Caenorhabditis elegans: one gene and its partner. The protein of the gene in region 1 purifies or fractionates together with the protein of each later gene. This does not show direct contact. Each region holds a gene or a part of one and is shown on either strand. Other genes may lie near its edges.

Evidence for each region.
Region 2: the proteins of sams-4 (region 1) and emg-1 fractionate together in Caenorhabditis elegans (co-fractionation; one large-scale study listed by BioGRID). This does not show direct contact.

What each region holds. Positions count from the first base shown.
Region 1 is NC_003282.8:5,843,357-5,848,134, reverse strand, and holds sams-4 (putative S-adenosylmethionine synthase 4), read left to right. Parts: upstream 1-1,765; 5' UTR 1,766-1,799; coding exon 1,800-1,871; intron 1,872-2,096; coding exon 2,097-2,157; exon of another isoform or gene 2,158-2,530; coding exon 2,531-2,653; intron 2,654-2,754; coding exon 2,755-3,137; intron 3,138-3,188; coding exon 3,189-3,598; intron 3,599-3,641; coding exon 3,642-3,807; 3' UTR 3,808-4,074; downstream 4,075-4,778. Other genes in the region: C06E7.2 (uncharacterized protein), read right to left, coding at 4,209-4,756. UniProt on the Caenorhabditis elegans protein: Catalyzes the formation of S-adenosylmethionine from methionine and ATP. The reaction comprises two steps that are both catalyzed by the same enzyme: formation of S-adenosylmethionine (AdoMet) and triphosphate, and subsequent hydrolysis of the triphosphate.
Region 2 is NC_003281.10:10,647,857-10,651,687, reverse strand, and holds emg-1 (Ribosomal RNA small subunit methyltransferase nep-1), read right to left. Parts: upstream 2,170-3,831; coding exon 1,803-2,169; intron 1,466-1,802; coding exon 1,137-1,465; 3' UTR 780-1,136; downstream 1-779. Other genes in the region: orc-4 (ORC (Origin Recognition Complex) subunit), read right to left, coding at 2,875-2,977, 3,030-3,171, 3,397-3,510.

The DNA of each region.
Region 1 (4,778 bases):
CACTTGTAAAAACACTTTTTTCCATTTTCTTCATTTTCTATGCAAATTTCTATAAATCTGCTGGCTTTTTTGAATTTTCGTCGCATTTTATTCGAATTTTAGCCGATCCTTAAACTAGAATTTAACAGCTGTCTCACGGATGGCGATAAATGTTCTAGATTAGATCTGTTTCGCTAATTAGAAACTGGAAATATCTGAAAGCTTTCCCCTATCATGAATAGATCGAAATAATCGAGATATGAGATTCCTAGATATCGGAATTAACAAGAAAAGTTACGGAAAAATATCGAATATCGTATTAATTGTTTTTTCTGCTTGATTAGGTTTAAAAAGGCTTTAAAATCCGTTTTTTTCAGTGAAAAATCACTGTTCTATTTGAGATATAATTTATTTTTCTATTTAACCCACGTGTTTGTTAAATACGATTAAACATTTTGGAAGTAGTTTCATCATTCTTACAGTTTCTCGATAATTGAGCAAAACACCATGACAAAAAGCAAGTGAGACTACAAACTTAAAAGTACAAGGCCAATTCTTATTTACCAAGTTGCTATTTGTTCTAAATTAGAACCTGTTTTCTTGATTCCTTTGCTTTTTAAAGTTTACATTACTGATAATGGCTACTATAATCCGTTCCTAAAGTCTAGAGTATTTGCTTTTTTCATGTTGTGGAAACTGAGCTTCTGCGCTTTTACAAAAGGGCAAAGTCTATTGATTTTCTGCAAATTGAATAGTTTCATGATCATATATCCATTAGCACAATTACACTGTTAGAGGAAATAAAAACAAATATGAATTTGAGGAGAGCGATGAAAATCGTATGATCAAACATAAAAAAGTATGTCAAAGTTTTGCAATAACTTTGTTCAGGCCGATTTTGCCCTCTCGACAGCTTTTTTTCTTGCAAACGATGTTCTGCACAATAGTATAGGCTGGGAATGATCTTGTTGCAATAATAATACTTTTAAAAAGAATTGAGTAAAAACGTGATAACATAGTGAACTCGGCTATATCCACACGTGAAAACGTGAAATTTTATCAAAATTTCTCGGAGTGCATAACATTAAAAAAAACATTGACCGTTTCATCGTCGAAGAGTGTAAGTGAGTTGTCTTTATCTGCTGAAGCTTTCAATAAGGTTCAGCGAGACTTCAATTCCGAAGATTTTTTGTCCGTGTTCCCGGTTCATCTGTACAATCTTCGAACGCATATTTCGAAAGTTTTAGACATTTATTTTTCTAGATTGTAAACGTCGCCTGTCTTGTTCTCTAAGACTTTTATATATTTTTCCTTATCTCGATTTATGTTCTTCAAAAATATGACAGTAAAACTTCCTCAGTGTTCTTATTTCTAAACATCGTATATTTATATAAATATTATTGTGGTGTTTCAAATAACACGTGTTTCATAATTCCTCATCCTTAGATAACGGTTTGCCCTTAGAATTGTTTTGATCCTTCTTTTTTCGAAAATTCTCGCTCCCTTTTTCTCTAAATCTCTGTAGTTTTCTGATGATCTAGGTTCAACCTTCATGGTATAAAAGTAGAGCTTTCCGGGCTAATATTCACACTTGTCTCGCAAAAAAATTGTGTTTTATTGCAATCTAAAAAACGCCCTCAAAACTATACTTTAGAGCAACGTGTTTCCAACAAGACGCAGAGTATTGTGTCTCTCTTTGTTGCGTGGCGCTCCGCCCTCTATTCAACCCACCTCCGCTTCCTCGCTTTCCTTTATTTATTTGAGCTAAATATCATCGCTCTTTCAGACGGACGCTTTCAAACATCCATCAACGAAATAAAATGCCGCAACACAAGTTCCTTTTCACCTCCGAATCTGTCTCCGAGGGGCATCCCGACAAGATGTGTGACCAAGTAAGTTATATTTGATAAGAAATCGTCTTTTCCAGATAAACAAATCCATCAAATTTTTTGATTGGAAATACGCTACTGTTGAAAAAAAAAATCTGTCAAGTTCGTAAAAAGTTAGTTATGGGACAAAATGTGTATAGTTTCAAACAAAACGTTATCTCCGAAGCGTAGAAAATTGGCCCACGTGCTCGAAAGCAGCTGTCTATCATTCTCATGTTTGTTTTTCAGATCTCGGACGCTGTTCTTGACGCTCATCTGGCTCAAGACCCTCACGCTAAGGTTGCTTGTGGTGAGTGATTCAGGACTTTTGGATATCCTCCAACGAAATGTCAACAACAACATGGAGCTGCGATGAGCAAAAGTCCCAATTATTATCCGTACAACATTCAGAGATTCGGCGATATGGAAGACAGGCGGTCAGATTCAATACACTCGCGTCGTGTTAACCTCAGAATTAACATGATATTGATATTTGTGTTGTGAATTTGATTTGCAGAAGGATCAACAGTGAACTCGTACCTATCACTGTGGTTCTTTTGCATTTCGCCTATTCATGTCTCTGATTTCAGGCTCTACGGGTGTTGGATGATGCGGGAAACGGGGCTGAAGCTTATCGCAACAATATGTTTCTTTACCTGTTACAACGGTTACTTTGATTACAGAAACGGTGACTAAAACGGGTATGATCATGTTGTGCGGTGAGATCACCTCGAAAGCTGTCGTCGACTACCAGGTTCTCGTCCGAAACGTCATTAAGAAAATTGGATACGATGATTCCTCGAAAGGTATGAAGAATATAATTTCGTTTCTACACTATTGGCTCATCACATTGTGTCAGGAATCTCATTTTCTTGGTTTATTGATTAAATACAGTATTCATTTTCAGGATTCGATTACAAGACATGCAATGTTCTTGTTGCACTCGAACAACAATCACCTGAAATCGCTGCTGGAGTCCACGTGGACAAGGATAGTGACGATGTCGGAGCCGGAGATCAAGGAATTATGTTTGGATATGCTACTGATGAAACCGAAGAAGCGATGCCATTGACTCTTCTCTTGTCTCACAAGCTGAACCGGAAGCTTCACGAGCTCCGTAGATCTGGAGAGCTCGAATGGGTTCGTCCGGACTCGAAGACCCAAGTCACAATCGAATATGCTTCGGAAGGAGGAGCATGTGTCCCACTACGCGTCCACACTGTTGTTATCTCCACCCAACATTCTCCAGATATCAGTCTCGATGATTTGAGAAAGGAACTCATCGAAAAGGTAATTAAAAATATTAATAAAAATACAGCTATATTTATTGTTCGGTTTTAGGTTATCAAAGCTGTAATTCCTGCCAATCTCATCGACGACAAGACCATCTATCATCTCAATCCATGTGGATCATTCATTATTGGAGGACCAATGGGAGATGCTGGACTTACTGGACGTAAGATCATCGTTGATACCTACGGAGGATGGGGAGCTCACGGAGGAGGTGCTTTCTCTGGAAAGGACCCAACCAAAGTCGATCGTTCTGCCGCATATGCTGCTCGTTGGGTTGCCAAGTCACTTGTCAAAGCTGGACTTTGCCGTCGTTGCCTTGTTCAAGTTTCATACGCCATCGGAGTTGCTAAGCCTCTTTCTGTGATGGTCTTTTCATTTGGAACTTCTGCTCTCAGCGAGGAGGATTTATTGACCATTGTGAATGATAACTTCGATCTGAGACCGGGAAAGATTATCAAGTAAGCGTTTTTTTTTATGTTTCACTATTTTTACTGTTTTCAGGAATCTTGACTTGAAGAGACCAATTTACGAGCCAACTGCTGAAAACGGACACTTTGGACACAATAATTTCCCATGGGAGCAGCCTCGAAACCTCAAAATCAGTGCAGATATGCTCGCCAAATCACAAGGACCAGCTCAACCTGACGTAATTGGAATTGCCCATTAAAATTCTGAGATTATTGTAATAATCAACTTGATAAAAGTGCTTGTAAGCCTTCTAGTAATCACATACATTTATTTTGGTTTCATTTTCACTTGTTCCCCTAAATTCCATTAATTCTATTCCCCTGAGCCTCATTTAGATTCAAAATCAGTAGCCCCCACCATCCCGCACACATGATCGCTTTATTCCATAATTATTATTCCATTTCACGTATTTATTACTACAAGTTGATCACGATTTTTCGTAATCAATAAATTTGCTTGATAATTATCCTATTTGTTCATTTGTCAGTCTGCAGAAACCTCAAGAAATCTGAAAACTCAAAAAAAAAATCATTTCCTTTATTAAATTTTTTGCTCAATATATCGACAGAAAGCACCAGGTTTATTAAAAGAGTCTACAATTTAAGTGAAATATTTGCAAAATAAAATGGAAGATATAGAAATTAAAATAAAGTTTGAATTCATCGTTGTTTTACTAGATTTGACCGCTTTTGCATCTGTTGATGTATCATTTGAATGTGAATTTTCAGAATTCTCTTCTCCATTTTCAGATGTCATATTGACTTCTCGTGTTTTTAATTCTCCAACATCTTTCTCTCCATCGACAGCTTCTTCATCTGATTTTAATTCTTTTATTATTTCATTTAATTCTTTTTCTGCTTTTTCTTCTTCTTCTTTTGATATTTCATCAACTGGAATTTCATTTGAAATTAATATTTTTTCATTTATTTCTGAAGCTGATGTTGTTCCGACTCCGCCCATTTCATAACTGAAAAAGGATTTCGATGGAGAATATGCTTCTTTTGGTTTGAATGATGTTGCAGAAGATGGAGTTACGGAAGATTCGGATGGTTTTTTAGTTGGAGATGGTGTAGACGCTTTGTGCTTCTGATTGAATTGCTCATTGAGTTTTGAAGCTTTTGAGCTGGGACGAGAGGACACTTTGGTGCCTGAAAATTGTTTATTAAAGGT
Region 2 (3,831 bases), on another chromosome or scaffold:
TCATAAATTACTTCCAGGTGGTCCGGATTAATGAGGTGATTTCTTAGAATTTATTTGCGTCACTGTGATTTTTTCTGATTATCGAGAAATAAATGAAAATTTTCTTTTTTTTTAATTTTTCGGATAAAATAAAAAAATTAATTTAAGAAATTTTAATAATTTTTAATGATATTTAACTGAAAAAAAGTACATTTTTCGGAACAAAAATGAATTTTAAGTCTTAATTTTCATTTATTTTTTGAAAAAATGGCCCGTTTTCGGTGTCAAAACTACTGTACCTGGTCTCGAAGCGAAGATTTTTTATGCCAAATATTGTGCGCCTTTAAAGAGTACTGTAATTTCCAAATTTCATTTCTGCAGAATTTTCCTTAATTTGCCATAGTTTTTATGATAAAAAGTAAAAAAAAAAGTTTAAAATGTCAGAAATTCTATCAGAACTGGAGAGAAAATATGAAAATTGTTTTTTTTTTTCAAATTTTTTTACAGTTTTTCTCCAGTTATGTTGAAATTTATAATATTTTACAGTTTTCTTGTATTTTTTAATTTTTTATTTGAGTTTATCTTTTTTTTTTAATCGATAATTTATCGAAAAACTACAAAAAATCAATAAAAATTCCGCAACAACGAAAGTTTAAAACTACAGTACTCTTTAAAGGCGCACATCCTTCTGCAACTAAAAAAATTGTCGCTTCGATACCAGCTACCGTATTTTTAGCGAAAAAATCGCATTTTTCACGATTATTCTTCGATTTTGTCTGAAAAATTGGTAAAAACTGAAAAGTTAGGCTCCTGGACTTTTTTATTTAGAATTTTTCTGAAAAAAAAAAGTTTTTGCCGAATTTTATGCCAAATATTGTAAAATTTTAAAACGTTTTAAATTACTACCTAATAAAACTGAAAAAATAAAAAAAAAAGAGAACTCTACGAAAGGAAAATCAAAGAAAAAACTAATTTTTTGGGTTTTTAGAATATTTGATTTTTTTAAAACAATTTCAGTGTAAAAGTAAGAAATAGACATTGAAATTTACAAAAAAACGGCATTTTTTTTCGAAAAAAAAAAGTGATTTTGCACTTTATAAGATGAAGATAGTAACAAAAACAGACAACAATAAAATGAAAAAACTGCAAAAAATCAATTAAATAATTCCCCAAATCTCCTCAAGTCCACTGGTCACTTTGGCACAAGTCAACGCTGCACTCAATGGATAATTGCTGATCTTGGTCTCAGAATCGTTGTAATCGACGACGATCTTTCCACGAGCAATTCCACCGATAATAAGGACCAGAGGCTCGTCGGTTTCCGGTGCAACAAGCTTATTAGCCATTGTTAGCTCAGGTACATTGAACGACATGAGCATCTTACGGGATCCCACTGGAAGATGGTTCGACACTGGATTCTTCACTACTGACATCAGCTTTTGAGTGGTTTCGGCGGCTCGAATGGAGAGTTTGTGCAGGAGTTGGACTGAAAATATGGAAAATAGAAAATAGGGGGATTTTGCATAAAAATACCTAATTGCAAGAAAAGTCACAAAAAATCCAATAAAAAGTATTTTAAAGCATGTTTTTGAAAATTGGATTTTTGTGCTCTTTTTTGTGAATTTTTTTTTGATTTTCAGACTATTTTGGGGTATTTTGAATCCGGGTATTTTTAAAAGGAAAAGGGTATTTTTAAAAATTTATGTTTAAATTTGATAAAAAATAATTTTTAAAAAACTCGAAAAATTGTCTTTTTTCTTATTTTACATACAAAAACACTTCAAAATATATTTTTTTCAATTTCCAATAAACCAAAAACTCACCCATAAGTCCACAGAATCGATCAAAAGTTCTTGGAATTCTGCACTGTGGTGAGACATCAACGAGCACATTCTTGCTCGTTCTAAAGAAGACACGAAGCTTTCCGGCTCTGTTAAGCGGACTATCAAGTAGATTCAACAAGCATTGATGTAGGATATCTGGCCGATAATCAGCCGGATCTTTTTTCTGTTTTCTCAGAAAATTCGCGTGTTTATCACTGCTCAAAATTGCGTATTCTCCACCGACTTTTGCAGTTTCAAGACTACATCCTTCCAGTACAACGTACAAAATCTTCTTGTCCTCCAATTGATTATCCGTCTTCATGCGCTTCGCATTTGGCGGTGCAACTGTATCGTACTCGTGGGACATCTGAAATTCGGAGAAATTAATTTTTTTTGTCATAAAGTAATTTTTTTAGGACCAAAAATCGAATTTTCAATAATTCTGATGAAAAAAAAATTATTTTCTGAATAATATTGTGATTTTTTATAGTTTAGCACAAATTTTAAATAAAAGCTGTGGGAACAACGATAGGTCGTTCTGTAAAATTTTCGAAAAAATGCCGCTTTTTTGGAAATAAAATTGAGTTTTTCGACTTTTGGAAAAATTTCTAATTTTCCATATCTATCAATATAGGAATATACATAATTTTTGATAAATTAAAAGTTTTCACTTCTTTTTTCGTTTTTCGATATTTTTTCGTCAAAAACACTGAAAAATTTCTGCGGAGAAAATGTAAGTCGAAAATCAAAAAACTCAAAAACTCAAAAACGAAAAAATTTGTAAATTTGAACGGTTTTTCAAAAATTTCAGTGAGTTCCTTTTTTTGTCGAATTTCCCCTAAAACATGAAAATTTAACTAAATATTTTATTTCGGGATTTTTGAATTAACGAAAAATGGTTTTATTTTATTTTTTCGATTTTTGAAGCTCCTGTAAAGATTTTTATAAAACAAGTTCAAAAAATAATATGATGGTTTTTAAACCGAAAATAATTCTCACAGAAAAAAAAACTCAACAAAAATATAAATATCGAGATCAATCTTCATTGCAAATAGTACAAAAAATATCAAAATTACTTCAAAATAGTCATAAAAAAGTCGGAAACAACTCGCGGGAGCTGCAACTTCGAGATCGAGTCCTCCACAATTTTATCATTGATATGAAGCCAAACTTTTCTGAAAAAAAAGAGGATTTGAGGTGAATTTTTCAGCTGAAAAAAAAACCCACCGAAACGAGGTATTTGTCACATTTGTGCTCTCGTCTGCCTTCAAAATTCCCATTTTAACGAGATGATCCAATTCTCGGAATACGTAGACATCACTGCTCACGTTCAGTGGAGGATAGTGTTGATTAACGAGTTTTTTGAATTCTGAAATTACGGAGAAAATAGATTTTTAAAAAATAAGCTTAAAATTTTCATGTTTTTTCTCATCAATATAATCGAAAATTAGATTTAAAAAAAATCATATTTTATGGTTAATTTTCTGAACATTTTCTTAATTTTTCGGAAATTCAAAAAATCGAAAAATTTTTCGTTTTTCAATTTTTAAAAATTCGAAAAATCGAAAATTCCGAGATAAATTTTAAAAAATACCTAGAAAAACGTTTCGATACGAAGTTTTTGGCGCCAAAAGTGGTCCATCTGACTCTTTATTCTGCACAAGTCTCCAGACACAAAGAAAAACGCATTGTGCTCGAACTGTTTGATCTGAAAATTTGAAAAATTTTTAGAATTTCACTGGAATTATTAAATTTTTGAGCCGAAAAAACAGTATATAATTAGTTTTTTCTAGATTTTACCGGATTTTTTTAATTTTTCAGAAAAATTTCAAAAGCTGTAAAGATTAAAATAGGTTTTGATTGAAAATCACGATTTTTGCATGATTTTTTACATTTTAAAGTTGTTTAAAATTTGAAATTTGTTCCGAAAAAAAAAGGTAAAAAATTACTTTATCAGCTCAATTTCCAGATTTGAAATCAGAATTTTTAATTCTTTGCGGAATTTCAAAAAGTGAACTTGAATTGTTCA